4 separate regions of the Mus musculus genome follow, and all the other regions are reported to be linked to region 1. The links are microRNA targets in miRTarBase. Many come from high-throughput screens and were not tested one by one. Region 1 holds a microRNA gene; each other region holds the end of a gene's coding sequence.

The links. The annotated mature microRNA mmu-miR-3065-5p reads UCAACAAAAUCACUGAUGCUGG and lies in region 1 at 1,960-1,981, shown strand. An mRNA with a match to its seed (bases 2 to 7 or 8) in the 3' UTR can be bound and repressed. Matches are read on the target gene's strand: a 7mer-m8 pairs with bases 2 to 8, a 7mer-A1 pairs with bases 2 to 7 and ends in A, and an 8mer does both.
Region 2: miRTarBase lists Pgpep1 as a target of mmu-miR-3065-5p. Seed matches in the 3' UTR shown: 7mer-m8 at 1,572-1,578, 7mer-m8 at 1,900-1,906 and 7mer-A1 at 2,653-2,659.
Region 3: the mRNA of Marchf1 is a reported target of mmu-miR-3065-5p. Seed matches in the 3' UTR shown: 7mer-m8 at 2,273-2,279.
Region 4: the mRNA of Foxc2 is a reported target of mmu-miR-3065-5p. Seed matches in the 3' UTR shown: 7mer-m8 at 1,113-1,119.

The regions. Positions count from the first base shown.
Region 1 is chr11:120,012,821-120,019,932 of GRCm38, forward strand. Mir3065 (microRNA 3065) reads left to right here and starts at 1,947; the gene lies at 1,947-2,033. Aatk (apoptosis-associated tyrosine kinase) reads right to left here. Exons shown (of 14, transcript NM_001198785.1): 3 at 5,925-6,072; 4 at 3,908-3,987; 5 at 3,493-3,611; 6 at 3,286-3,373; 7 at 2,639-2,772; 8 at 830-914; 9 at 628-749; 10 at 1-52. Mir338 (microRNA 338) reads right to left here and starts at 2,042; the gene lies at 1,945-2,042.
Region 2 is chr8:70,644,664-70,651,768 of GRCm38, reverse strand. Pgpep1 (pyroglutamyl-peptidase I) reads left to right here. Exons shown (of 5, transcript NM_023217.4): 4 at 355-587; 5 at 984-5,333. The coding sequence ends at 1,176. Among named protein-coding and RNA genes, the nearest start is that of Pgpep1, 12 kb to the left of the region's middle.
Region 3 is chr8:66,467,876-66,474,991 of GRCm38, forward strand. Marchf1 (membrane associated ring-CH-type finger 1) reads left to right here. Exons shown (of 9, transcript NM_001293784.1): 9 at 357-3,762. The coding sequence ends at 655. Among named protein-coding and RNA genes, the nearest start is that of Tma16, 15 kb to the right of the region's middle.
Region 4 is chr8:121,117,584-121,124,699 of GRCm38, forward strand. It overlaps Foxc2 (forkhead box C2), which reads left to right. Exons shown (of 1, transcript NM_013519.2): 1 at 1-1,312. The coding sequence ends at 516. Among named protein-coding and RNA genes, the nearest start is that of Foxc2, 5.0 kb to the left of the region's middle.

The DNA.
Region 1 (7,112 bases):
GTACGGCTGCGCACCCAACTCGAAAAGCTCCCAGATGGTCACACCCAGGGACCTGCGGGAGCAACCACAGTGACACGTGGCTGAGCATGACTGCACAGAATCCCTGAACACCTGTCATCATGTCAGCCTCTCTGGGACTGGACCTCACTACGCCACAGCCGCCCCTCTCTAGAGGCACAGATGCAAGGCAGAATCCTGTATCCCTTAAGGACAAGTGGCCTTCAACAGCATCTCAGGATGATTTTTAACCAAAATATGGTGCCAGTATTGGGGGGGTGTCAGTTGGTCCTATCCTGAAGGCCCCATACCCTTGACTGTCAAGGCAGTCCCCCCTACACACACACACACACACACACACACACACACACACACACACACACCAGTATAGGAACCTCAGGAACCCATCATCAACGAAGTAGCCTGTAAAGTGCCTCTCATGGCCACAAGGTGGCAGGCATGAGTACACTTTCCCTGTGTGGCAGCCCTAATCCTAGCCAGAGAAGGAAGTCAAAATGCTGGAGCAGGGGGCAGAACTGAAAGGCAGCATCCCCACTAGAATAGCTGACGCCAGCGCCATCTGGGGAGGCGGCATCCCAAGGCCCTCCCGGCAGCCCTGCCTGCGCTCACCACACGTTGCTGCTCTTGGTCTGGTCCACCACCAGCAGGTTGCCGTGAACCTCGTCCACCAGCTCTGGCGCGATCCAGCGCAGCGGCACCCACAGCTGGTCAGCGGTCACGAGATAGTCTTCCTGTAGCACGCAGGGACAGGATGGGAGTGAGCTCCGCTCAGCAGCTGCCCCTGCACACGGGCCCTGACGGCCTTACTCACCCTGTATTTGCAATGCGACAGGCCATAATCACCAACCTTCACTGTCAGGTCAGCCGTAAGCAGGCAGTTCCTCAGGGCCAGGTCACTGCGGAGTGGAAGGCAATGTCAGCAGAGTGTGCCAGCCTGAGTGAGCCCTGGTGGAATGGTTGGGCTCCCGGGCACAGCCAGGCAGACCGACAGGAAGGGGTGTCTGAGGGGCCACCCACTTGTGCCCAAGTTCTGGCTCCACACCCTGTACTGGCTATTTTGGAAGACCTGTGTGGACTTCAATGCATTTCTAATACTTCTTCTTCTTCTTTTTTTTCTTTTTTTTCCAGACAGGGTTTCTCTGTGTAGCCCTGGCTGTCCTGGAACTCATTTTGTAGACCAGGCTGGCCTCGAACTCAGAAATCCTCCTGACTCTGCCTCCCAAGTGCTGGGATTAAAGGCTTGCGCCACCAAGCCCGGTTTTCAATGCACTTCAATGCATGTGAAAATCAGGCAAAAGATGCTCAAGGACGACCCCCCCCCCCCAGCAAAGTGCTGTCTAACTGCACCAGAGCCCTAACCCGCTCCACCCTCTGTCTGATCTGCCCAACAAGGGCCAACAAGCCATGGAGCAGAGAGTCTGCAGTGTCCTCTCAGGACCCTCACCCTTCCGACTACACTCCACCATCCCAGTCCCCAGGAGGTAAGAACTGATGGAGAAACCGAAGCCCGGAGTGTCTCAGAGGGTCCTGCCAGCAGTCAGAGCCCATGTTCTAGAGTGCAGCCCTGCCTGGCCTGCTACACAAGCTGGAGCCGAGGTCTAGAACAGTATGGACCACAAAGGCCCCTTTGTGTGGAGGATAAAAATCACCAACTCAGTGGGAAGCCTGGAATGCCAGGCTCTGTATAACTCTTGCTTGGCTATAGCGCCCCACCCCCAGGTGTTTGGGGTACAGGACAATAGAGTGCCACGGGACGCACCCTCATCTGCCATACTGGCTGTTCTGCTGAGAGATCTCTGGATGTAGATGGGGCCACCTTGGCCTGCCTCTACCCCAGGAGGACTGTGTCAGGGGACAGGGTGGGGTGACCTGGGTCCATGCCTATGGGTGGGGCAGCTGGGCTAGGCAGCAGGCAGGGCAGGAGGCTGGCAGCTGCCCTCTTCAACAAAATCACTGATGCTGGAGTCACTGTGCACCCACTCAGCACCAGGATATTGTTGGGGAGGACGGCCTGTGCAGCGTTGGAGCTGGTGGGCCGCTTGTCCGTTGCCACTTCTTCCAGCATGTGCCCCCAGCTCATGGGAGGCTGGGCATCCTGGCCACCAGAGGCAGGAGAGAGCCACCCCTCCCACTACAGGGCCAGCCCAGCCACTCCCTTTGTGGCCTGAGGGAAAGAGGCTGGGGTTGGTATGGAGCCCAAGTATGGCTGACTGCTCTAGTAGACAGGATGGGTTTCTTCATTTAACTGTCTGCAAGGTGAGTTTCAAATGCCAAGTCTTCACAATTTATTTCATTTTGAGATGGTCCTGCTACATAGTCCTGGCTATTCTGGAGTTCATTAGGTAGACCTAGCAGGACTTGAACTCACAGAGATTCTCCTACCTCTGCCTCCCAAGCGCTGCAATTAAAGGCGTGAGCCACCATGCCCAGTTAGTTTTCCCAGTTCTAAGAATGATAAAGTTCCCTGCAGAGTGGCTATTTTTAGATGAACCCAGTTCATGAGGCCCACAACGTGGGATCACCGTGACTTTTCTGCACAGGGTCGTGTGATGGTGAGGGTTAAGGCCCTGGGGGAGTGGGGCTTTGTAGCTGTAGCCTGGCTAGTCTCGCTAGCCCTCACCTGTGTACATAGTTGTGTCGATGTAGATGCAAGACGCCACACGCCACCTCGCACGCCATGCGCTGCAAGGTAAGTGGGTCAGGCGCCATGGACTCTGTCACCCGGCAGCTCCGTAGATAACCTTTGAGGTCCCCCTGATGGACGAGAGAGCACACAGTCACCTGCTAGCTGCAGCGACCAGCCCATCACAAGTCTGCCACCCACACCAAGAGAACCTGGGTCTGGTGGCCTGTGGATCAGCTGTGAACCCTAGTGTTCACTGCTGTTTCAGCAAAGCCTGTGTCTCAATTCTGGCACAGTGACCTCCATATAAGCAGCCACCAGAGCTGTGCATGTAAAGGGCCCAAGGGGCAACACGAAGACCCAGAACTCAGGCTCTGCCCCAGGAGCTTCGGGAGCCCTGTGGCTGTCCCAGGACACCTCTCGCTGAACTATCCAAGACCCCACAGTGTTGCCCCTGCTGCTGCTGGCTCACTTTCTCTCCGCAGACCTCCTCTGAGGGAGAGCAAGGACTACCAGGACTCTACTTTAGAAATAACAAAAGACCCCAAGAGGCTGAGCAAGAGAGGAGCCACTCCCCTTTGGAACAATGAGCTACAGAACAGGACCGGGAGAGACAGAGCTACCTCCCCGAGAGGACCACTTACCAGTGGACAGAACTCCATAACCAGCAGGTAGGGGGTCACTTCAGCACACTGGGCCAGGCACTGGAGCAGGTTGCTGTGCTGCAGGGCCCTGGAAGAGTCCACGGGTGTTTAAGTTGGAGGGCAGGAGAGGGTGTCCCATAGCCCTCAGTTTCTCCCACTGTGCTGCTCCCCTGCCCGGCCCCACCCCGCCCCCGCCACACCACCCACCTGTAGGGCTGCGCCTCCTCCAGGAACTGCATCTGCTCCTGCACGCTGGCGCTCACCTTCAGCTCCTTCACCACCACCTGCGTGCCACTGACGCCCGAGTGTACCTCCCCCAAAAACACCTGCCAAATGTGACAGGCATCACCAGGTCCCCTTTCAGTCTCCATAGGAAAAGCCATCTAGCGCCCAGGGCCTCAGATGGTCATACAACTTCTCACCAAGCTCTGGCTAGAACCCTCAGCCCCAGTCCACCCACAAGGCTCCTACTTTTCTCACTGCCTGGGGACTACAATGAGGAAAAAGGAATCAGGTACATGGTCCAGTCTGGGGCGGGTGTTAGAAAGAGCCCCTCCCTAGGGGATCCCCAGGAGTAGTGGGTCCACCCTTTGCCATTCCTGCCACCCCGGGGCATGCTTACCTTCCCAAACCAGCCGTGGCCAATCTCCTTTAAGTACAGGAGGCTGTGCCGGCCCAGGTCCGTGGACTTGAGAAGTTGCACTAGAGTGGAACAGAAATCCAGACACAGCTTAGCCACCGCTCCCTCTCCATCTTCCCGACCACGCTCTCCAGAGCCCAGAGAGCTTTCCCAAGCTCCCCAGCCAAAGAAGCTTCAATAAAGTGGAGGCCAGGTTTGAGCGCTGTCATCGAGGGCCAGTGTCTCTTAGGCTCTGGGGTGGCTGCTGTCAGCAGAGCTATGGACCTCAAGTCTCCATCCAGGCAAAGCCTGGGGATGCCCAGAGCAGAGCCACAGGGAGAAGCCAAGCCCAAACAGCAGGGCCTGGAAAGGCGTTTGGATGAGGCAGGAAGCTGGTGCCGAGGCCTGGGAGGACAGCAGAGCAACCAACCCCCTACCCCTGCCACAGGCTGGCATTCAAACCCCCACCACAGCAAAGCCGCCTTTGTTGGGGGCTGCTTGGCACAGCCCTGTACGGGACACACTGGCTCCATTCTCCCTGTGAGACAGGCAGAGTGAAGTCAGAGGAGAAGAAGGGTCAGCGTGGGCAGAGGAAAGGGCCAGGGCTCACTGCACCCACTCATGCCCCCTCGGATTCTCTGAATTCTGCTCCCACGCTGATAGCCCAGAAGGCCGGGGTCAGGGCTGCTGGGACGCCCAAGGGAAGATGGCAGCCCTCGGGGACTAAGTCTGCTTGGTGCCCAGCTCATGGAAGAGTCTCACCGGGCACTGTGCCCCCAAGACTTACACCCTGAACCTAATCTGTCTAAATGCCTGGTGGAAACCCTGGGGTCTCTAGGACCTCAGTTGTCCCAGAGTGGGTTCAGGGTCCTGACAGTAGAACCCAGGGCAAGCACAGGGGGCAGGAGAGTGCTTGTATGTTAGGAGCTAGAGGTAGAGGAGGCGGCTTAGGTGGGCTGACCCATCTCACACAAATTTCTCCCTCCTTGAAAGAAGATGCACCCCCCCCCCAAAAAACCCAAAAAACAACAGAGCTGAGCAGTGCAAAAAGCACCTTTGCCCTCTCCTGGGTCCCTGTCCCACTGTCCTTGGCCATAGATAGCCAAGCCTGCCTCCTAGGAGGTGCTAAGGACACCTGCAGGCCTTTGAGCCAGTGGGTAAACGTGTCCATGTCTGGATCCTGCCTGACTTTTGAGCTCACTCCCTTGAGACTCGATGGGCCACAGAGCCATGCATTCAGGGTTGGGTCAGGCTGGTGGCGACCAGGGCAGCATTTATCTAAGTCTCTATTGGCTCAAACAGGTACTTTGATGCAGGCTGGGCCCTGGATGGGAAGCATTGTGTTGAGAGCCTGGGAGGGCTGGCCCAAGGTTAAGAGCGGCCTGCTTTTCACCACAGGGATGGGGCCAACCGCACTCTCCACTTGAAACCTTCCGCGGTGTCCTTGGCGCCATCAGATGGACAAGAGACAGCCCTGAGCTGAAACTTCCAGGCTGTAAAGGCCTGAGAGCTGACTGTTGTAGAGGTAGTCATAGTCCCAGGCACCAAGGTGACCAGGGCAGCATTTACCCGTCACCTCTAAAGAGGAGGGGGGTGGTGGTGGTGCAGGGAGAGGCTCTGGAAGGAAGGCAAATGGGAGAGGCAGACAGGGCAAGGAAGCTATGGGAAGAGGCCCTGCCTACACCTGGGTTGGGGGTAAGGGGGTGGGCATTGATGCTTCTCTTGTTCCCTATGCTGTGTGGGTAGCCTGTTTGGTAGGGACAACGGGGCCACATTCCTACAGGTACAAAGGAGCAGGAGTCTGGGAAGAACAGAGGTAGATGGATAATCCAGAGTGCTGAGCCACCTGCCCCAGTTACCTCATGGCAGCCCCTGGGGTGGAGGAGCGACAGACAAGGCTACTCTCAAGCCTGGGTCCCAGAGGGGCTCCACGCACCTCCCAACACAGCTCAGCCTGAGATGCGGCCAGGAGACCTCGGCTTCCCAGTGCCCATGCCCCAAGCGACCCCACACCACTCACCGGAGCGACCCGGCTGCTTGGCCATGGGTAAGGAGACCTCGGTGAGGGGCAGGACATACACATCGGGGCCGGTCTGTGCAGCTGCAGCCGGGGAGCCCTGCTCCGAGAAGTCGGCCACATACTCGTCCCCTTCAGCATTCTCAAACTCCTGTGGGTCGGGCCGGCACGGGTGGGTGAGCAGGACACAGGCTAATGGAGGCAGGCTAGGAGAGGCCCCTTTACCCCCAAACTCAACCTGACTTACACAGGCCTACAGCATGGGCCCCTGCCACATGGCCATTCCCCACCTGTTCACCGGCCCCAATTCCTCAGGGACACCATCTCAGCAGAGGTCAAAGGCCTCAGGCCCAGGTGGGGCTGGGAACCCAAGGCTGAGTCCTGCTTGGAGAAGGGCTAAAGAGTTCAAAGGGACAGAGGCAGAGTAGCCCCTCATAGGCCCTGTCAGTGGTCTCCTCCCTGCCCCCACCCCCTGCCACCCCATGGCTTAGAGCAGATTTACAGGCAGGGGCTCACTGCACATCTCGGGGAAGGTAATTCGGTTCCTCTTCCCTAGCTGGGCAGGGAGCAAGGAACCCAGGGACTTGTTCTTCATCCACACCTCCACTGCCTGCCTGCATGCCGTGGGGTACCCTCAGCCCTGCACCCCCCCCCCCCAGTGCACCCTAAGAGCTTGCTCCTGCATCCCTGGAGATCACTCTGGGGACAGGCTGCTAACTCTGAAGACTATCAGCCTAGGAGAGACCACCCGACCCCCACCCCACCCCATCTAGATCACATTCCAAGCAGCATTAGTCTGGGGTAGGCCACAGCCATAAACAAGGACAGGGTTTCTCGTGGAAGAACACTTGCCCTAGAACCACAAACAAACACATCAAAACCAAAACAGGAACAGAGCAGAAACCAGGCCAGCTTGTCCTCAGCACCGGGCAAATCTCCCTGCCACATCTCCCACCCAGGTGAAAACTGGGCTCTGAGGACTGGGCATAAACCCGGAGCTTGGCTGCCCGCTCCGGGCCACGTTCCTGCGGACAAACGGCTAAACATACCCTGGGGACCTTTTTCTAGGTCATCTGTCTTTCTGTAAAGGGGGTGGCCCTACATTCCTAGTGGTTAGCCCAGCTCTGCATTCTGAGAGCAGAGCCTCTAACACCTGTGGCAACTCTTCCTCCCCGGAGCCTAAAAGACCAC
Region 2 (7,105 bases), not on the chromosome of region 1:
TTTCTGAGTTCAAGGCCAGCCTGGTCTACAGAGTGAGTTCCAGGATAGCCAGGGCTACACAGAGAAACCATCTCAAAAAACTAAAAAACAAACAAAACAAAACATACCTCAAGCAAGGTACAGTGGTGGTAGATAACCATCGTCTTAGCGATCATGAATTTAAGGACAGCCTGGGCTACATGAGAGTCTGAGACCCTGTCTCAAAGGTGAAGCCAAAGGCCACCCTGGGCTCCTAGGTAGCCACGTTAATAGCTCATTTTCCAGCAACAACAACAGAGACTCACTGTTTTTATTCCCCATGTATGGGTGGGTGCTGCTCCTGCTAACCGTCCCCCAATTGTCTCTTGTCCCCAGCTCGTAGTGCATGTTGGGGTGTCGGGCATGGCCACCACAGTGACGCTGGAAAAATGTGGGCACAACAAGGGTTACAAAGGACTGGATAATTGCCGGTTCTGCCCCGGCTCTCAGTGCTGCGTGGAGGATGGTCCCGAGAGCATCGACTCCATCATCGACATGGACGCCGTGTGCAAAAGGGTGACCACACTGGGACTGGACGTGTCTGTTACCATCTCCCAGGATGCTGGCAGGTAGGCTCCAGGCCCTGAGGGGTGGGTGGGGGGGCTTCCTCTCCAGCAGGGAGGCTGGGGAGGAAACAGCAGATAACTTCCTCAGTCACTCTCCACCTTAGGCTTGAAGATAGTTTCTCTGTGTAGCCCAGGTTGACCTGGAACTCTGCATAGACCAGGCTGGCCTCAGCCTGACATCTACCTGCATCTGCTTTCTGAGTGCATGCCCAGCAAAATACGTTTTCAGAAAATGGAGAGTAGGCATCCAGGGTCCCCCAAATTCCTGACCCCTAGATTCTCCTCCACCTCCCAGCTGTGCCCCAGAGCTGTGCCCCAGAGCTTTGAAGGACTTTTCAGAAGCCTGGTGGCTTTGGCCTGGGACATAGTGACTGTGACTTTTCCTCCCATCTGTCTCAGGTATCTGTGTGACTTCACGTATTATACATCGCTCTACCAGGGCCGCGGCCGCTCCGCTTTTGTCCACGTGCCCCCACTGGGTAAGCCCTACAACGCCGACCAGCTAGGCCGGGCGCTACGAGCTATCATCGAGGAGATGCTGGGTGTCCTGGAGCAAGCCGAGGGAGACATCAGCTGTTGCCGCCAGCTCTGACAGCCATGTACACCTGGGTGCGGTGCCGAGAGAGGGGCCATCCTGACTCATCTGCCCCTCCTAATGGACCACAAGGGGGCAATTGAGAGAGCTCCCATCTGAATATCATCTGGGGACACTTCTGCGCCCAGAGGCCAGGGCTAGTGGTCTGCACACATGCCATGGGGCCACCTTGACCCTGACGCAGTCTGCATTTTCAGGTGTATGGACAAGGAGTTGAAGCTTGCCCTGTGGCTGGGGCCTCACAAAGTATCATAAAGTAGATTAGCTCTAATCCATGTCTTAAACCCTAGATGGTCCCCGCCAAAGCCACTTGGGACCTGGTTGCCTTTTCTATCTTCTGTCTGTTTCTGTCTGTGTCTGTCTCTCTCTGCCTCTGTCTGTCCCCATCCTTCTTTGTTGTACCCACCTTCCTTCAGTGCTAGAACAGAACAGCGTAACTTATGTTCCCATTGTTAAGACTTCAGGCCTAACCAACAAGTGTCTTTCCTTTCTCCTGGGGAGGGCGGCCTCTTTTGCCTCCTGCCCTGAAAATGCCATCATACTTTGGGTCTCCATAGTGGGTTCCCTTTGCTCAGAAGAGCAGGCTGCTATGGCCACCAAGGGCCTGGCCGCAGTAGCCTCTGGTGCCTGTGGGGAGCCGACCCTGCCATGATCTTTCTTGTTCTCTTTTTGATATTTTAAGACTCTTAAAATTTTAGATACTCTAAACTTTAGAGGGTATTTGTTGTTTGTTTGTTTTTTCTTTGGAGACAGGGTCTCAGGTAGCCTAGGCTGGCCTCGTGTGAACTCCTGATCCTCTGGCCTCAGTTTCCTAAGCACTAAGGGGACAGGTGTTTGCCACCACACATGGCCCACCTGGGACCCAGAACCTACCGTGTGAACCATCACCTGGAGCTGTGGATTTTCTCCATCTTGAGATAGCCAGCCTCTAATATCCTGTGAGGGACCTGGGGTGAGAGGCTGCGGTGCCCAGGCATGTCCCTGCATGTCCTATCAGCCACAGGGATATCTGCTGAACTGCATTTGGAAGTGTGCCAGGGACTCCAGCCAGCCTTTGTCTCTGGCTGACTTTGAACTGCCAAGCCAGGAGGAGGGGCTCTCAGGAAGGGTGGGATGTAGCATGTGACCTGGACTCCTTCCAAGACCAAGTACAGTTCCTGCCAGTGAAGCCAAGTACATTGTGGATGCCACCTTCTCTTTTGTGGATGGATAGAGACCTCGGTGTCCCCACGGGATTGATGGATCTGAATTCTGAAGTGACTTCTCATCCCTGGATCTTCTTGTTGTTTGTGAGACTGGGTCTCCTATAGCCCAGGCTAGCCTCCAATTCACTGTAGCTGAAGCTGACCTTAAATCCTGACCCTCCTACCTCGGCCTACTCAGTGCAGGGCTTGTGAAAGCCTGTGTGCTGGGCCTGGCTACTTTTAAGCTCTAGTGTTCCTTGTTCTGATGTGGTTTCTTCATGTCATCATCTTGTTGATCCTGGGTCTGAAGCTTATTTGTCGCCACATGGAGATCTGAGTGGTTGGCTCTCTTTCTGAATCTCAGGGTTGAGGGCACCCTGGAGTGCCCCAGGGTGATTTGCTGTCCCTACAAAGGCATCTATGGGTGTGGGCCTGCAGTTTGAATAACGAGGGCTCCCCCTCTTACCCTCCCCCCAGTCCTGTGCTAACACCTTCTCCAGAGAGAGAGGCCCTGCAGTTTCCCAGATAGCCATGGGCAGGAAGATGGGGGCTCAGGAGTAAGGGATTCCCCAGGGCTCTGGGCTTTTGAGACATCATGTAGACAAGGCAGGCCTTGAACTCCTGGTCCTGTGGCCTCAGCCTCCCCCTGAGATGACCAAGGTGGATCTGACTTTGGTTCCCGTATGTCTTTGTTTTTGTGTTCTGAGGCAGAGTTCTACCTGACCTCTGTAGCTCAGGCTGGCCCTCCAACGTGTGGCAGTCCTGCTTCAGATGTATCAGTGCCTGGCAAGTCTTCCTTAGGAAGACCATGGGCTGTGCTCCACTCTCAATTTTCCCAAAGTCCCTGGCATGGGAACACCATGCTCAGGGACCCCAGGAGGGTGCACATGTCATGTTCTAGTCCCCACTGTTGAGCTGAGGGGGATTCCAGGACATGGGGCTGGTAGTTATTTATTTAGGTATCTCTTAAACACACACCCCTTGCCCTGATCCAAAACTACTTGTTTTTTTTTTTTTTTTTTTTTTTTTGTCGTTTTTTGGCAGGTAGGGCTCAGGGTCTGTAGTTGCCAGGTGTCACCTAGACTGGTCACATTGACCCTTGAGGTCCAGGTCACCCCAGCACTGACCTTCATTTCCCATGCTTACCCTGGGGAGTGTGGGTGGGGCTTCAAGAGGTAGGCAGATGTGTGGGCAGAGCCTGACCTGGGCCTGGCTGGCCCTTACCATTAATGGCAAAGTAGAAAGCTAGCCCAGCGGAGCAAGAGAAGTAACATGGCATAAACCTGAAGCCAGGGACTTGTGCAGGGACAGCAGTGGTAGAATCTGAGGTCTCAGCCAGTCTGAGAAAGTGTCTGATTTATGATATCAACTTAGGTGTGGAGATGTAGCTTTCAGACCAACACCAGCATGCTGTGCCCTGGGCCACTCCAGTGTTTCCTGAGGCCACGTGGAGGGCCAAACTGCAAGAATTGGAGGCAGGATCACCATAGTGGGCACCAATCTTCTGAATTCATTTTTTTGGGAGATGGTGGGGGGTGGTACAGGATCTTGTGTAGCCTGGGCTGGCTTCACACTATGTGGCTGAGGGTGACCTTGAATTCCTTGCCTCCAGGTCCCAGGGATGGCAGGGTTAAGCCTCCGCCTGAGCCTGCTTTGGGGGCAGATCTTTGAAGTTAAATTGATGGCTTCAGCTAAAATGGGAACTCTCTCCTGTACTTCTCAAGCTGGCGTGTAAACCTTCAGGAAAGCGGGGACCCCGAGGCTGGGGGAAGTTGGAAAAGCAGACTCTAGGTGCTTTTGAGTGAGGACTTTGGCTGGAAGTCAGACCAGCTGCTGTGTGCACAGGATGCTTGTGCCTGCGCCCCCAAGGTGACCTTGCTGTATGCTAGGAGAGCGCCTCCAGCCTGCCCTTCTCCCTCCCACTGTCTAGACAGCTCACCCTTGACCTCTCTACCCCTTGGAGTGTCTGAGCCCAGAGTCCCCTCTGGGAACATAGAGACAAAGCCTTACTCTCAGAGCCTGGACTCTGAGAGTTGGGGCTGTGGGGGTCCCTGTGGGGTCCCTATGCATGCCGATGGCTTCTCAAATGTGTACCCAGGCAGGTGGCCTCCCTCCCCAGCCCACCATTTCTCTACATCCACAGGCTGGAGAGAGCAAACAGATAGAGGGGCTTTGGTGTTCTGTGTCTGGTGAAATGCCTCCCGCCCCCCCCCCCCAAAGTACAGTGTCTGGACTAGAAAACAGGGCACATAGCTCTTTTTTTTTTTTTTTTCTTTATATGCAGCAGTAGGGGAATGAACCCAAGTCAATGTTTGGGTTTGAAAAGCTATATCCTGAGTTGCCACAGCCACTAAACATGCCTGTCAGTAAGGCCTGTCACTGGTGTCAGGGACACTGGTCACAAGCTGTAAGGATTGCATCATCCAGGCAATGGTCCTGGAGGCAGAACAAGAGTTCAAGGCCAGCCTCCCCCTACACTCCAAGTTAGAGGCCAGGCTGGGATTTGAGAGACAAAAAACCAAATTATCAGGAAGAGAGGGAGAGAGGTGGGCAAGGTGACTCAGGGGGGAGTCAGTTACCACCAAACTTTTATTCCCCAAGAGCCACAGGGTTTTCTTTTATAAAAAGAGGTTTCACTAATGCTGGTTGGCACCAGGCTCTTTTCCCTCAAAGCCTGGGTTGGCTCCGCCCAGGGCAGCTGAAGCCACACCTTAGGGAGCGCTTCCTGGGTGCCCCCACAGGGGGCCTGGCTGGTGTATGGGACCCCCCAGTACCTCAGATGTTTTATCCTCTCAACAGGGCACTTCTGCCCTCTGAGACCCTTCAGGCCCAGTATGTCTTCTCTTTGAGGCCAGAGCTCCCACCAAGCATCCTGACCCCGGGGGATAGAAGGGAGAAGGGCCTGCCAGGCTGCACTCGGGGAAACTCCACGCTCTTTACTCAGAACCAATAAAGTCATTGAAACCTGTCATTGTGCATCCAGTGTCACCTACTGGGGACTTTCAGCAGGTTCAAACCACTGGAACCCCGCTATGGTCCACACTAGCCAGCCTCTGACTGCTGGCCTGAAGCCATCTTCCTCCCTCAGCCCTCCTGGGTCTGGGGTCAACACCTGTACGTTCTTTTTGGAGTAGACTAGGATGTACCCCCTGCCTCCCACAAACCCAGCCTTATTTTAAGGGTCTGGAGAATCCCACGGTGGAAGTCAGACCTCCCCTTCCCTTTCCTGTGGTCCTCACTGCCTGAAATTTCTCTGGTCAGCTGAGCCCCGCCTGACAAAAGGGAAGAAATGGGGTGATTCTTGCCAAGCCGGGGCTTGTGACCCTGGCCTGGGAACACAGATTCCTGTCACCCTGGCTGTCACGCGCTGCAAACTTTCATAGTCATAGGAAGTCATAAACTAACAGTCATCGGTGGGGACACCGGATGCCATGCTCCTGGTTGGGTTTACAGGAGCCTGCTGACATTCCCAGCTGGGTGATCAGTGCCACACGGGTCGGACAGCGTATCACCTGGGCAGAAGTGTCTGAAGGACACCTGGGCTCTATTGTCTATCAGAATAGTAAACAAGGGACCCCAAAACATTAGAAGTCCCCAGGAATCTCAAGCTGCAAGGAGAAGGGTGAAGCCCGGGGCAGCCAGAGCAGGAACTTAACTTAGCTCTGGCAAACGCTGCACACAGCTCCCACTGTCAGTCAGGCCACCTTGCAGGAGAGACTAGCCGAGAGTGATGGGTTACTGAACAATGGAGGGCCCCGCCTGGCTGTACCCTGTGGCCAGGCACGCTCTCCATCCGTGCTTAGCCCTGAGCCTCATGTTAGGACTTGGAGTGCTCTGCGCCTCTGAGCTTTTTTCCATATGGAATACATCTTGGGCCAGTGAGATGGCCTGGCAGGTGAGGGCACTTATTGTCAAGCCTGAGAATCTGAGTTTGAACCCTAGTGAGTATTGGGGTCACTGGGTGCACAAATAATGAGGAAATGACACCAAAGTCAGACCCACCACGAGGAAGCGCTTCTAACTGGCCAGGGTCCTGAGGTCAGGAGTGGAGCTGACCACAGCAAAGGCCTTGAAGGGCAGGAGCAGTCTCCTTTTGAGGCGTAAAATAAAGGAGAAATTTGTAAATGGAGGTTTAGTCCTGGGATGTGACTGTTTACCATACAAGCCCAGGCCTACTCTAACAAGGCAGTGGTCTCTGATGTGGGCCAGGTGGTTTTACTGCAGCTGAGGAGAGGGCAGGACTTGAGGGTTTGCAGTAAAATGGGGCACAGAGCAAAGCTTGGAATTACCCCAGGGGTTTTCAGAGAGGTGAGGCTCCTGCTTGAGACCCTCCCTGTCTTTTATTTATTTGGTTTTTTGAGACAGGAATGACTGCTTCTGCGTAGCCCTGGCTGTTGTGGAACTCACTCTGTAGATCAGGCTGGCCTTGAATGCACAGAAATCCCCTGCCTCCTGAGTGCTGGGATTAAAGTGTGTGCCACCATGCCTGGCCAAGACCCTCTCTCAAAACACACATTAACACCTGTAAACTTCTATATGACACTTAAAACCCCATATTTGGGTGGGAAAGGGACACACTTGGGAATTGCTTAGTGTGATTGGCTGGAGTGGGATTGAGGGAGACAGTCCTCCCATGGACCTAAAACAGTCCTCCCTTCACTCCACTGTCCTCCTTCAGGCCTCTGCTTCTGGAAACTTGTTTTTAAGGACTATGCATCCTTTACAAGTGCCTCAGACATGTC
Region 3 (7,116 bases), not on the chromosome of region 1:
TTTTTGTGTGACTAAAATGCAAGAAATCATATTTCACAAATACTAGCCCCACAAGTGAACAATAGGACATAAAATATGAAAGCTTTTGCCAGGGTACTGAAGTTTGTATTAGTCCGTTCAGTAAAAATCTTCACACCCACAACAACTGAGAATGAATCAGGTCTACTGTTTTTTTGATTAGTGTGACTATAATGAAAATGCTCAGTTTCATAGTTTGGGCAACCGCAAATTGACCCCATTCCCTTTGCCTAACATGGTTCAGGGAAGCAAGTGTACTCAGTAAGGGTCATAGTGGGGGATGGGGACACCAAATGTAGAAATGACAACTTGATAACAGCACTCTCTCTTTCTCAAAGGTGTGCTGGAATGGCCATTTTGGACAAAACTGGTTGTGGTGGCTATTGGCTTCACGGGAGGTCTCGTCTTCATGTATGTACAGTGTAAAGTCTACGTCCAACTGTGGCGCCGGCTGAAGGCCTACAACCGTGTGATCTTTGTGCAGAATTGCCCAGACACTGCCAACAAACTGGAGAAGAACTTCCCGTGTAATGTGAACACGGAAATCAAGGATGCTGTGGTTGTGCCTGTGCCACAGACAGGTTCAAATACACTGCCAACTGCAGAGGGAGCCCCACCTGAGGTTATACCAGTCTGATGGAACTAGAGGGGAACTTCTTCACAGAAGGATTTTTGCAGCCCCCAGCCACTACCAACAGAAGTGCTTCTGCTCTGGTGGCTTCTTAATCTTCTCCTTTCCCCTACTGTCTTGTTTGTCCTGACTTGGAGCAAAAAGGAAATGAGAAGAAAATAACACATGACCAGGATCTCAAGAAGCAGAGCCGTCGGTGGGACCTGGAAAGGCAGAGTGTCTTGGGGAATGAGTTCATAAGGAATGGTTGGTACACGCCAGTCTTCCAGAGTGATGGACATGTGATACGCCTTCAAGTAGTGCAGAGGAATCCCTTAACAGACTTCAATTGCAATGTATGCTTCTTTGTAGGGTTCTGTAATGTTAGCCTTCTCCACTGGAAATGACACACACACACGCACACACACACAAAACAAAAAATTTGGTCTTAAGCCTGAAAGTGTGTGCGTTATCCCTAAGTCACACCAGAAGCAAACTTGGAGGACTTGAGAGGGTTTTTTTTTTATACTTTGACAGCTGATTTTTTCTGGCTATTGTGAAGTCTGGTTATTTTGACAGATGCATGTTTTTAAATGGATGCAATACACATTTGATGATAGAAATGTTTAAAATTTTGTTTAAATGATGGAAGAAGAGATTTTCAGGGCATTGTGGAATTTAGCTTTCACTGTTTTTTGGACCACTATCATGCCATGTTTTTGTTTTTGTTTTTGTTTTTGTTTTTGTTTTTTTCTGGTCCCTCTTACACAGTGCTCAACAACAGATATATAACACGAGCTACAAAGGCAACCACAGTTGTAAATTTTAAATCTCCTAGTGTGCCACATTAGGAAAAGTAAAAATAAATAGGTCAATTATTTTCATAATTTAGTTAACTCTACATATACAAGTTATTTCATGTCATCAATGAAAACAGTTAAAAGATAGCTTTCATTATTTTCTTGAACCAAGTCTTCAAAATTCTGCATGTATTTATGACACACCTCAATATGAATAAAGTGTGTCAGACAGGATTTAATTAAGAATATTGGTTAGCAGAGCCCTTGCATTAGAAACTACATCTGTTTCATTTAAGTTGGTTATTTTAAAACAGCAGTTTAATCTGTGATTCTGTTTTTCAGTTTCATTTAAAGGTTACAATTTACAAAGCACTAAACTCACCACATTAAGTATTCTGGCTTGATTTCAACCAACTTTCAAAGGGGCGGAAAAAAAAACCACAAAAGTATAGGAAGTCAGTAAAATGTGTAGCAATGTTATGAAGTCAACTTCTGTATAGAAGCTATAAAGTAATTATGATAGGGAAAATTATTTTGCCACTAAATCAGGTGTGTTAAGGTTTTTAAATCCACATGGAGGGTCAACGTGACATGGGTACCTTAATTAAGGATCTTAACCCAGTGTTTAAACCTGACAGTATTTCCCTCACTCAGCTCAAAAGTAAAAATATTCAATACATTCCATGGTGAGAGATAAGATAGGCTGTCGGTTCAACAGCTGACTACTGTGCTCTACACAGACTCAAATCAACTGATATGAATGATAACTGCAATGAGCTGGGTAAATACTCACAAACAGTAGTTAGCTGTCGAAAGAAAGATGACCACATTTTTTAAAGTGACTTTTGTTGTTGTTGTTGTTGTTGTTGTTGTTGTTGTTGTTGTTAGCTGTCATTATTTATTATCCTGAAGAGGCAGAGATGGCCCTAAGAACCAAAGCACGGGCATCACGTTGCACACATCTGGGATCCATATCCATGAACTTTGTAATAATCAGTGTTTGTTCTTCGTGGGTGATAAAGGAAAAGGAAAGACAAAATGATCTTTCAATGAGAAGAGTATTTGTAGTGACTGACACTGGGTCCAAATCGTCCCACCCTTAGAAATAAAGACACAGTAAACAATGTCAATTGTGTATGACCTGTATATTCATGTATATATGCAAGAGAAATGTTAAGGTCAAGTCAAGTCAAACAACAAAAGGTTAAATACTCATCTTTCTTAAAACCTGTAGGAGGGACATGGATTAAATATGCACGGACAAAGCAATGGACATAACTAATCCGGACCAGGCCTTCAGCACAAATAACTGGAACTTTGTATTAACTTCCTGCAAAGTTTTCATTTTAAATATTTAAAAAGAATAGGACAGCAAAGGAAGGAAGGATGGATGGATTGCCCGTGACTTCACACAAAGGGGTTGACCATCATTCAATTTTTCTGTATAGTTCCCCTTGCTCTTCCTATGATGATAATTTGTCGTCTACCAATACTGCACAAGAAGAGATAGATCTACCTCTTCTTGCAAGTGCAAACTAAAAATGATTTACCTTTTTACCACAGGAAGAAATGAGTTAAATACCTTAATTACCACAGAAAATACTGTTTACAACCAAGATGGATATTTGAGTAGCTTGTTTCATAGAGGAAGGTGGTTGGCTACAACTAATTTTCCAAGGTGGATACCAGTACTAAAACAAAGAGAATAAAAAGCAGAGACAAGCTTTGCTACAACAATAAGAAAAGATAGCACATTGTTTTAAAGTAATAGCTAAACGCTTCAAGTTAACTATGGTGAGCTTTGTTTTTAAATGAGTATATGATAGAATTCTGAACAGCGTATGTACCACACAGTGATTATTCTGATATATTTTGATGCTTTAAAACCCACATTTTTTCCTCTAAATTATTACCTGAAATTACTATTTATGATTCAAACCATCTGCCCTAACTATTCATATATACAACAGTGGTGTTGGAGCCGGGCATAGTAGGTACACACCTGTAATCCCAACACTCTGGAAGCTTAGGACTTCAGGGTTATCCTCTCCTACATAGTGAATCCCAACTAAAGGCTAGCCTAGGCTGCATGAGAGCTTTCTTCAAAAGTCAAACAAACAAACAAGGTTTAAAACTCAATGAATAAATCCAGTAATGAAAATATCTTTTCACATTGTGTGGTAATGGTGTTTTCCCTTAATAACAATGAAAGGTTTGGCTTTGATGGCCTGACTTACTGCTCAAGGAGAAAAACCAGCTTGACAGAATGACATTGTCTTCAAGTGTGTTTACCTGCTCTCATGGAAAAAATAAAGTGAAATTAAAACAAAATTATCCCTGAGTTTAGATTGTTAAAAGTGGATTTTTATAAACACAACATAAAGCTGTGCTAAGAAACACCATAAACCAGACTTCGAAAGCGCTTCCTATCAAGAGCTGACATTTTCACTAGGTGTAATTAGTCAATGAGAAATGAAGTAAATTAAAGCATTTAAGGTAAAGCCTAGGGATGGACGAGGTGCATTAGTGGTTAGACACTTTCTGCTCTCATAGAAGCTCCTGGTCGAGCTCTCAGCATACACGTAACAGGGCACAACCGCCTGTAGCTCCAACTCCACCTCTTCTGGTCTCTGTGGTCTCTAGTCACAGTCACACACACACACACGAGAGAGAGAGAGAGAGAGAGAGAGAGAGAGAGAGAGAGAGAGAGAGAGAGAGAGAGAGAGAGAGAGAAAGAGAGAGAGAAAGAGAAAGAGAAAGAGAGACACAGAGAGAGAGACAGAGAGAGAGAGAGAGAGAGAAAGAGTAAAGTGACCCAAAGCATGTAAACTTAAGTATAAAACCCTACAAAAATGGAGAAAAAGAAAATCTTGAGTCCCAATTTCCCAGGGTTACAATGCAGACAGTAGTCTTTCTCAGACTGTCCCAGGATCAAAACTTCACTTCGAGGAGCTGCTGCTGCTGCTACTGGTGATGATATCCCACAAAATAACCCTCATCCATACTGATAATTTTTCTTTTGTGAAGACGTAGGTAGCCTCCATTTGTTCTTCAACTAAAAAATGAGGTCATTAATACAATGACATCATCAAGAGAAATCACAAAGGTGGGGGTGGGAGGGAGGGAATCTATTCATTCCATCTGTCAGATATAATTTATCTTGCCTTACCAATGGATGTTTTGGAGCAAATACTAAGTGCAGAAGCTAAAACCTACCATCATTATTGTAACTGGTCCTTCCATCAGCCCAATGGTGCTATTTTACATAACAATACAACTAAAAGGAAGCTGTTCTGTTGGGCTGCAGTGTTTCCCCCATATCTGAAGGAAGCCCATGTTGAAATTAGATATAACATTCAAACAAAGGAGAAAGTATTAACTGTGCAATTCTTTGAGATTGGGCATTTGTACATTTTTAGTTTTACCTAATTGTCTTTCATTAACAATTTACTGTTTGTGAGTAATGTGTGCTTAACAAACTAAGGAAACTAATTATCTGTGAAAGACTTTGTATATTAAACAAATGCTCCAAACCTTGGCTGTAGTTTCTCTGCTTTCTGTCTAATGTACTGGGATTCCTAGGGTTGTATTTACAGCACTAGAAACCCTTGAATTCTTCATTTAAGATTTGATAATGGTCTAAGTTTTTAACTAGAATCTGAACATACTTATGTTAAATCTATAGTGACCAATGTTGAGTTATTACTGGAAATTTGGGTGCCCCACCGACACCATCATATTACTGGGGAAATTGAGAACCCCTTTCAGGGTTCTTAGTCTTATCAATAAAATAATTTGTTATCAGACTCAGAAAGAAGCTCCAGGACAATTTTATTAGACTTTAATCAACAACATGGCAGGTGAGCTGGAAATTACAGCAGCTACCAGGAGAGAATGAGGACGTTGGAGAGCCATGTCAAGTTAATGTTTAGCAATGGGTGTCAGCCACAAGTGGAACAAGCAGCTGTATGTCCTAGGGCTTCAGAGAAAAAGTGATGAGAGCCCAAGGGTGAGAGAAAGCATGCTCAAGTTCAGAACCATTTTGGGGAGTTGGAAGGGGGCGGGGATCAGGACAAAACAAAGCAAAACAACCCCTCCCCCCTTTTCTGAGGGGACTGAACTAACAAAGCTTCATGGTAACTCAATAGTAACTGCACCTGGGCCCAGCTTTCTAGGGGGAAAGTACATTATCTCATTAAAGGGATCAGTAATCCTCTATCTCTTTAGCATCAGTTAGAGTGAACTGGCCTTTCTAAGGGTTTACCCAGCTGGTGGGCCAGCTCAACTGGATTAACTCTTATGTCTTGGGTAACTTGGCCAGGAGTAAATAACATTCTTTTGACCAAAAAGAAATAGATTTCCTTAGTGGGCCTCAAAAATAGTTAAGAATAAAGAAATAGTTAACAATAAAGTCCCAGAATGCACTTTTAAAAAGTGTAAGGAGTATGAGCAGTGGGTGAGTCTCACGTCCAACTGCTCTACCTCCCGCACTGCACGGCTGTCAGGTCGGATGGGGCACAGCTCCTTCCTTGCCAAGCTCTCATTGCTTGCAGCCCAGGGAGGTTTTGTAGAGACTTCCAGGCTGGGAGAACTCTCCATTTGTAGCTTTGTCAAAGAAAAGAACTTGAGGACAAGTCAACGTGAAGCAGTCAATGCATTAAAAAGCTAGAAAAAAAAAATACAAAGAAGCACATCCACGCAAGGTGTGTCTGCTTTCTTAGGGTCGCCTCCAGTGTGTTTACAGGGAATATGCTTACATATTCATACACAGGTATCCCTGCAGGTTCCCAAGTTACAGTCCAGAGAGGGATTTACAACAATCTAAGAGAACAGTTACAGAACGGAAAGATTTCAGGCAAGATCTGGGTCTCAGAGAAAACAATATGGAGTAGGGTTTGCTTGCCCGTGAAATGCAAACAGTGCAGCAAAAGAATACAGGGGAGCTGTTTAATATGAGATCCAATAGCTGGCAGTGATGCAGTTACAAACCTTGAAAAAGTCATAAAATAATTATCTTTTTTTTTCCTTTTTTTAAAATTAGGTATTTTCTTCAATTACATTTCCAGTGCTATCCCAAAAGTCCCCCATGCCCTCCCCCCACACACACACACACTCCTACCCACCCCCACTCCCACTTCTTGGCCCTGGCATTCCCCTGTACTGAGGCAGATAAAGTTTGCACGACCAATGGGCCTCTCTTGCCACTGATGGCCGACTTGGCCATCTTCTGCTACATATGCAGCTAGAGACATGAACTCCGGGGGGGGGGGGTACTGGTTAGTTCATATTGTTGTTCCACCTATAGGGTTGCAGATCCCTTTAGCTCCTTGGCTACTTTCTCTAGCTCCTCCATTGGAGGCCCTGTGATCCATCCAATAGCTGACTGTGATCATCCACTTCTGTGTTTGCTAGGCCCTGACATAGTCTCACAAGAGAAAGCTATATCAGGGTCCTTTCAGCAAAATCTTGCCAGTGTATGCAATGGTGTCAGCGTTTGGAGGCTGATTATGGGGTGGATCCCTGGGTATGGCAGTTTCTAGATGGTCCATCCTTTCGTCTCAGCTGCAAACTTTGTTACTCCTTCCATGGGTGTTTTGTTCCCAATTCTAAGAAGGGGCAAAGTGGCCACACTTTGGTCTTCGTTCTTCTTGAGTTTCATGTGTTTTACAAATTGTATCTTCTATCTTG
Region 4 (7,116 bases), not on the chromosome of region 1:
GGCTCCGCGGGCTACCAGTGCAGTATGCGGGCTATGAGTCTGTACACCGGGGCCGAGCGGCCCGCGCACGTGTGCGTTCCGCCCGCGCTGGACGAGGCTCTGTCGGACCACCCGAGCGGCCCCGGCTCCCCGCTCGGCGCCCTCAACCTCGCAGCGGGTCAGGAGGGCGCGTTGGGGGCCTCGGGTCACCACCACCAGCATCACGGCCACCTCCACCCGCAGGCGCCACCGCCCGCCCCGCAGCCCCCTCCCGCGCCGCAGCCCGCCACCCAGGCCACCTCCTGGTATCTGAACCACGGCGGGGACCTGAGCCACCTCCCCGGCCACACGTTTGCAACCCAACAGCAAACTTTCCCCAACGTCCGGGAGATGTTCAACTCGCACCGGCTAGGACTGGACAACTCGTCCCTCGGGGAGTCCCAGGTGAGCAATGCGAGCTGTCAGCTGCCCTATCGAGCTACGCCGTCCCTCTACCGCCACGCAGCCCCCTACTCTTACGACTGCACCAAATACTGAGGCTGTCCAGTCCGCTCCAGCCCCAGGACCGCACCGGCTTCGCCTCCTCCATGGGAACCTTCTTCGACGGAGCCGCAGAAAGCGACGGAAAGCGCCCCTCTCTCAGAACCAGGAGCAGAGAGCTCCGTGCAACTCGCAGGTAACTTATCCGCAGCTCAGTTTGAGATCTCAGCGAGTCCCTCTAAGGGGGATGCAGCCCAGCAAAACGAAATACAGATTTTTTTTTTAATTCCTTCCCCTACCCAGATGCTGCGCCTGCTCCCCTTGGGGCTTCATAGATTAGCTTATGGACCAAACCCCATAGGGACCCCTAATGACTTCTGTGGAGATTCTCCACGGGCGCAAGAGGTCTCTCCGGATAAGGTGCCTTCTGTAAACGAGTGCGGATTTGTAACCAGGCTATTTTGTTCTTGCCCAGAGCCTTTAATATAATATTTAAAGTTGTGTCCACTGGATAAGGTTTCGTCTTGCCCAACTGTTACTGCCAAATTGAATTCAAGAAACGTGTGTGGGTCTTTTCTCCCCACGTCACCATGATAAAATAGGTCCCTCCCCAAACTGTAGGTCTTTTACAAAACAAGAAAATAATTTATTTTTTTGTTGTTGTTGGATAACGAAATTAAGTATCGGATACTTTTAATTTAGGAAGTGCATGGCTTTGTACAGTAGATGCCATCTGGGGTATTCCAAAAACACACCAAAAGACTTTAAAATTTCAATCTCACCTGTGTTTGTCTTATGTGATCTCAGTGTTGTATTTACCTTAAAATAAACCCGTGTTGTTTTTCTGCCCAAAGTTCGGACAGTGTCTTTGTGTTCTTGAATTTTAAAAGGGAAATTGTAGTAAGCCCAGTTGTGATTATTTTTGTGATGCAGGTGGCCTGGTACTTGGATGCATATACAGGTTACAGGACGATGGAGCTCTCGATTAGTAATAGAAGGGGCTCTTGATTTGTTGAACTATCCCGTCCTGAGATATTTTTGTTTTCTGCTCAAGGTAATCTGAGAAACTGTTCTCCATCCACACACGGACAGGGCTGCCTGAGGGCAACGTGCTGCTGGCCTGTTAACGAAATGCTTTGCGGGATGCAGAAAACTGTTGCCAATTGTCAAAACAAAATGGTGTCACCCTGTCTCGGTGTCCAGCTGTCCTCTGTTAGAGGGGAGAAACCGAGAAAGGACAAACGGCCTGCAGCTTGCTAACCTCAGCGTAGCAGGAGCCTGGGTGAGTGCTCGGCTCCCTCCATTTCCTTAGATGCGGACTTGTTGCCCCTGTTGGCGTTTTAAGAGTGCCAGCAAGAAGCAAAGAGGGTTGGTAGGTCTCTGGTATTTAACTGCCGGCTTTGGGATCAGATTAGAAGTGAATTTCAGTCTGATTTATTTCTTAATTTGGGCTTTAAATATTTTACTCCGGCGTGGTGGAAAAAGAAGCCACTGTGCGCCTCCAGCATGATATTTTAGCGCTGAAATGGCTCTGGTTTTCAGCATGCTAAGTAACAGGGAGATTATTTTTCTTTTTGATTCTTGTATTTCATTTCTTTAAAAAAAAAAAAGGAAAATAGATCGGGACAAACCTCTCTAAAATGTACCTGGCTGGCTGGGGGTGGGGGTGCCTTACCAATCTGCTGCCTGAAAGATACAGCTTCAGCACAGGCCTGCGTGTTGGACTTTAGGCATATCATGGATTCCCACGCCAGTTGGTAACCTGGACTGTGCTAATGGAAGTTCTTTCTGCACAGAACATGTAGGCCAGGAGGAGGCAGGGACCCGGGAGGGGGGTGGACTTTGCAGGTCATCTGCTTAGCTTAGTGGTGGCCACGGGTTAACACGTATATAGTGTTACTGTTGAAACTGCAAGTTTTATATCTGTGCTGTTTTGATGTAGAATTTGGGGAGGTTCCTGATGATACTACCCTACCCGTGTATGTAAGACAGTCTTTCAACCTGCAGTGCCAGAATGTGACCCACACTTCAGTATCTTCCATAAAGTGGGGGGACTAAGAACTGGACAGGGGTGCTGTGGAGGGGGGCAGGCCAGGTGTATCTTGGTTCCTGAGCAGAGCAGAGAGCTTAGGAAGGGGTCGGGAGATCTCTGGTTCCTCCCAACACTGGTTTCATTTTGCATGGCTCTCTTCAAACCTCTTGCCCCAGGAGAAGCGAGCTTTGTCCAAGCCAGCTGGCTCGCTCCTTTCCCAGATGTTTTAGGGGCCTCCCTGAAAGCTTGCCCTCCTCTTAAGATTCAGAACTCCTGACCCAGGGAAAGATAGGAGGCTTTGTGGATGGGAGCTTTTTTTTAAAGAGGACCGTTCTCGTTCTCAAGTAGGTAGCTAGAGAGAAGCCCCCTGGAGCAGGCCCTACTTGTGACTGTCAGGGAACCCAGGTTGTGTTGTAGGCTTTTCCCAGGCCTCCCAGAGCAGCGGTGTGAAAAAATGCGGTCCTGGGAAAAGTTGGTCTGGGGTGTTGCTTCCTCGAGCAGTCAGGAAGGGAAAGGATAGTTCCCAGAAGGTCAGATTCCTAAGGTTTGCGCTGAGTTCACATGCTAGCAGCCCTGCTTGGCCCAGCCTTAGAACTAGGGGCTTCATCTTCATTCCAGATAAACCCAGAATCCACCACACCCCACCCCAGCAATATTGCCAGCAGCAAGGGGGCATGGTGGGGCCACAATATTGGAGTTCATAACAGCTGCTATTGAATGCTTGGTAGTTTTTGGATTAAAACTTCTATGGGGACACAGGTTGTTCTTGGCCCTACATGGGTCTATCTTAGGTTTCTCTGTCACTAGCAAGTCCAGTCCAGGGCATTCTAGGAAAGGAGGGGGGGCAAGGAGTTCTGAGATGGAAGCCCTGGAGTGCCTACCCCAGGCCATCCAACTCTGCCAGGATGATTCTGCTCTTTACACAAACACAGCTTTGTCTGATAACCAGGACCCAAGAAGCCGATGCGGCTGGGCAAAAGATACGGCAGATAAAAACCGAAAGCAAACGCAGAGACACGGGCGGAAACCTTCATGTGGGTTTATCCCAAGTACAGGCCGGCCTTAACCAGGTGCACTGATCAAACACCATCCAGTTTTGAGGACAGATCCAGGTCTTCGGAGAGCCCTCTGTGCCATCTTAGGCTGAAGTTTTCAGGAAGTGCCTGCTAGCAGAGTCCCTGCCCGGACCCTCCCCCAACCAGGTTGGATAGGCAGCCACAGCCCTCACTCTCTGACTCAGGTGTTCAGACTCCACAAATGAAGAAATTGAGGATGACTTGGATGCGGGATGCGATGCGTCCAACTGGGAATTCAACTCCTACACCTCAAAGCACAAACCCCTGTCACCTGGGAGTCACCAGGGATCCTGAGATTGACAAGTTCATCATTCTTGTCTTCTCTTACTGAGGTAAATGAAGGTCAAAGGTTAGAAGGAGCTGAAAAGGAAGGGTTTCTCTGGGGGGATACTGGTGTTTGCCTTGTGGACCCTCAGGGTTCTCTTCCCTGTGACCCTCCTGCCTGGATCTGGGTAAAGCTGGTGAACATTGAGTTTCCAGCACCCTCCCTACCAAAGTTTGTTGGCTGCTGTCTTCTTCATCCTTGTTCTGGCTCCCAAATCCAAAGGTGGGGGGTGGGGTGGGGGGTGGGAGTGGAGATGGGAATCTCCAACTTCGTTGTTGCAAACCAAAACAGACAAGTATGAATAAAGATACTTCGAAAATGCCTCACAGCCCACACAAGGACTAGGATCTTGAGAAGGCGCTGGGATCTCCCAGCTTGCAGAGCTCCCTAAAACTGCCCCACACCGCTGTGCCACCTAGCCTGCCGCTGGACACCCTGGCCGACCGACTTCTGTGCCCTGAAGATGGGTCAGTGGGTGGCTCAGCTAGAAGTGGAGACATCTGAGTCCCACTTGATTTCCAATTCAAGTGGGGTGCAGGACTGGGTCAGAATTCACAGGGTGCCATCTCCCCTGCCCCTCAGACCCATCGAGTCCTGAATATTTGGGATGTTTTCCCAAACTTTGAGAAGCATTCCCTATTCCCTGCCCGCCTTCCTCGCCTGCCTTCCACTGGCAGGGCCTTTGAAATGTGTGCTCTTTTTTTTTTTTTTGAGACAGGCATGCAACCGGGTAGCATACTTCCAGAGCATTAGGTTGTTGGGGACAGTGTCTGGGAAGATGCAATGCGCCTTTAACTTACATCAGCCATCCTTTCAACACCCCTGTGCAGGGACGACAGCAGTCCTTTCAACACCCCTGTGCAGGGACGACAGCAGAAAGACACGCCGTGGGTATTTTTCTATTTTGGAGCCTTGTCTTTTGGGGTGGCTGTTTGTCTTTCTAAGAGTTCAAACCCACCCTGGGGTCCGTGAGAGTGCACAGAGCCAGGAGGAGCAGTAGTGGAGGTACAAAGAGGTAGAGCCCTGTAGTGGGAGGTTTTGACCTGTCCTGTCCTGTCGGGGAAATAGGGCCCCCGACAGGACAGGAGTTTTCAGACCTCAGCCTCTGGCAGCCTCTGGCCTTCCAACCCAGAGTGCCTGGCGATTCCCCCAGGCACTCTGCCTCCTGGGGACGGACATTCCAGGCCCAGTACACCATCGTTGTCTAACTTCGTCCCATCCCCTTAAGTATTGGGGCCAGTTTCTTGGGTGATATTTCTTAGGACTGTGAAAAAGCATTGTAATGGGTGTGGGTAATGGGGGCAGTCCCAACTTTTAACTCTGCCAGGCGGGCGCTCTCAGAGGGATGCTCCCATCTCTCTTGCCTATCTGGACGGCTTTGAGTGGGGTAGTGGACACGCCCCAGGGGCGACCTTGTGAACCTTCCCATCCTTACTGGGAACAAGGTGCGTGCGCTATAAGTAAGTAAGTCATTTGGGAAACTCTGCTCAGCTCTCTGGGCCTCTTCTTTTCTAAAGGCCCCACCTCCCATCTACACACCCTAGGGAGAGCAGGGGTGGGGGAGGGCAGACGCTGCTGGGCCCTTCCCAAAGGAGGAGGGAGAAGAGCAGAAAGCCTTCCAGGTTTGAAAGTGAGGATTTGGGGGTGCACTGGCTGCGTACCTCTAGCATCTCTTCCTTCTCTGCTCTTCCTCACTCTTCTGGGGACACCTGAGCATTCAGGCCTCACTGTTTCCACTTTTGAGGACAAACTGTGACTCCTGATTCCATTCAGTCAGCAGTAGCTGGAGAGTAACTTTGTGGCTTAGCCTCAGTTTCATGCTCTGTGGAATGGGTGCATCCTTGAGGCATGTCTTTCACATTGGCCGGGAGGGTTATTTTCACAGGAGTCCTGAGTGCCTCATATAGGGCACCTGTAAGATGATTTTGACCCTGTCTTTGGGACAGGTCTCTCTGGGAGAATTGAGATAAGTTAACACAGCCTCAGTTTCTTGATCTGAAAAAAAAATGGGAATAACAAATGCTTCTTTAATTTGTGTGTGTGTGTGTACTCGTGTACGTGTGTATATTACTGGGAATTGAAACCAGGAGTTCTCACACGCTGGACAAGCATGTCACATTACTCTCCCTACAACCCCTTTATTTAAAGTCGTTTATTTATTATTTTCCAATTCTGTCCCTGAGGCTAGAGTTACAGGTGCTTGTGAGCACCCCACCCCCAACCCGCAATGTGGATGCTGAGAGCCAGACTCCTTCAGAATGAGCGCTTGTAACCCCTGAGTCATCTCTCCAGCCCCAACCCCCCCCTCTTTGAGACAGGACTTCATGTACCCTAGGTTGACCTCAAACTTGCCATGTAGCAGAGGATGGACTTTGAACCTCTGATCCTCCTGCTTCTACCCCTTAGATGCTGGGATTGCTGGCATAGGCCTCTATGTCTGATTTATGTGGGCTTCCTGAATGCTAGGCAGGCATTCTAGCAGCTGAGTGATAGATAACCCCCCCATCCCTAATTTTCTCTCTCTCTCTCTTTCTTTCTTTCTTTCTTTCTTTCTTTCTTTCTTTCTTTTTTTCTCTCTCTCTCTCTTTCTTTCTTTCTTTCTTTCTTTCTTTCTTCTTCTTCCTTCTTCCCTTCCTTTCTTCCTTTCTTTTTTTAAATTTTGAGACAAAATTTAAAAATCTCACTGAGTTTGCTGGCTTGCTAGGAACTCACTGTGCAGCCTAGAGGGAACTTGAACTTGGGATCATCCTGCCTCAGCTTCCTGAGTAGCTGAAGTGGCAAGACGCTCCAGGCTGCTGCTTCTTGTAGTGGGGGTGAAAATATTTCATGCAAGCACCTCCCACAATCAATTACACAGCACACTGTGGTGCTCAATACACTTTAGTCACGATGCTCTCTGTCCATAGCCCCTCCCCCATACAGGGTTTCCCTGCGTAGACCCGGCTAGCCTCAGACTGAGATTAGCCTGCCTCTGCCTCCCGAATGCTGAGATTGAAGATATGCATCGCCCGGCTGTAAAACAAGTCTCTAGAAGCCATTAACGCAATAGATAGAATACGGACTGTCTGCGTTTGTCTGTGCTCTCTTGGAGAGTGCCAGGAGAGCATAAAGAACTCCATGTGCGTCATGTATTATTAACCAAGTATACCCGTGGGAGAAAGGAGGTGGCTTCACTTAGCAGGTGCTAACAAATGCCCGGGGCCCAGTGAGCCTGTGAACTAACT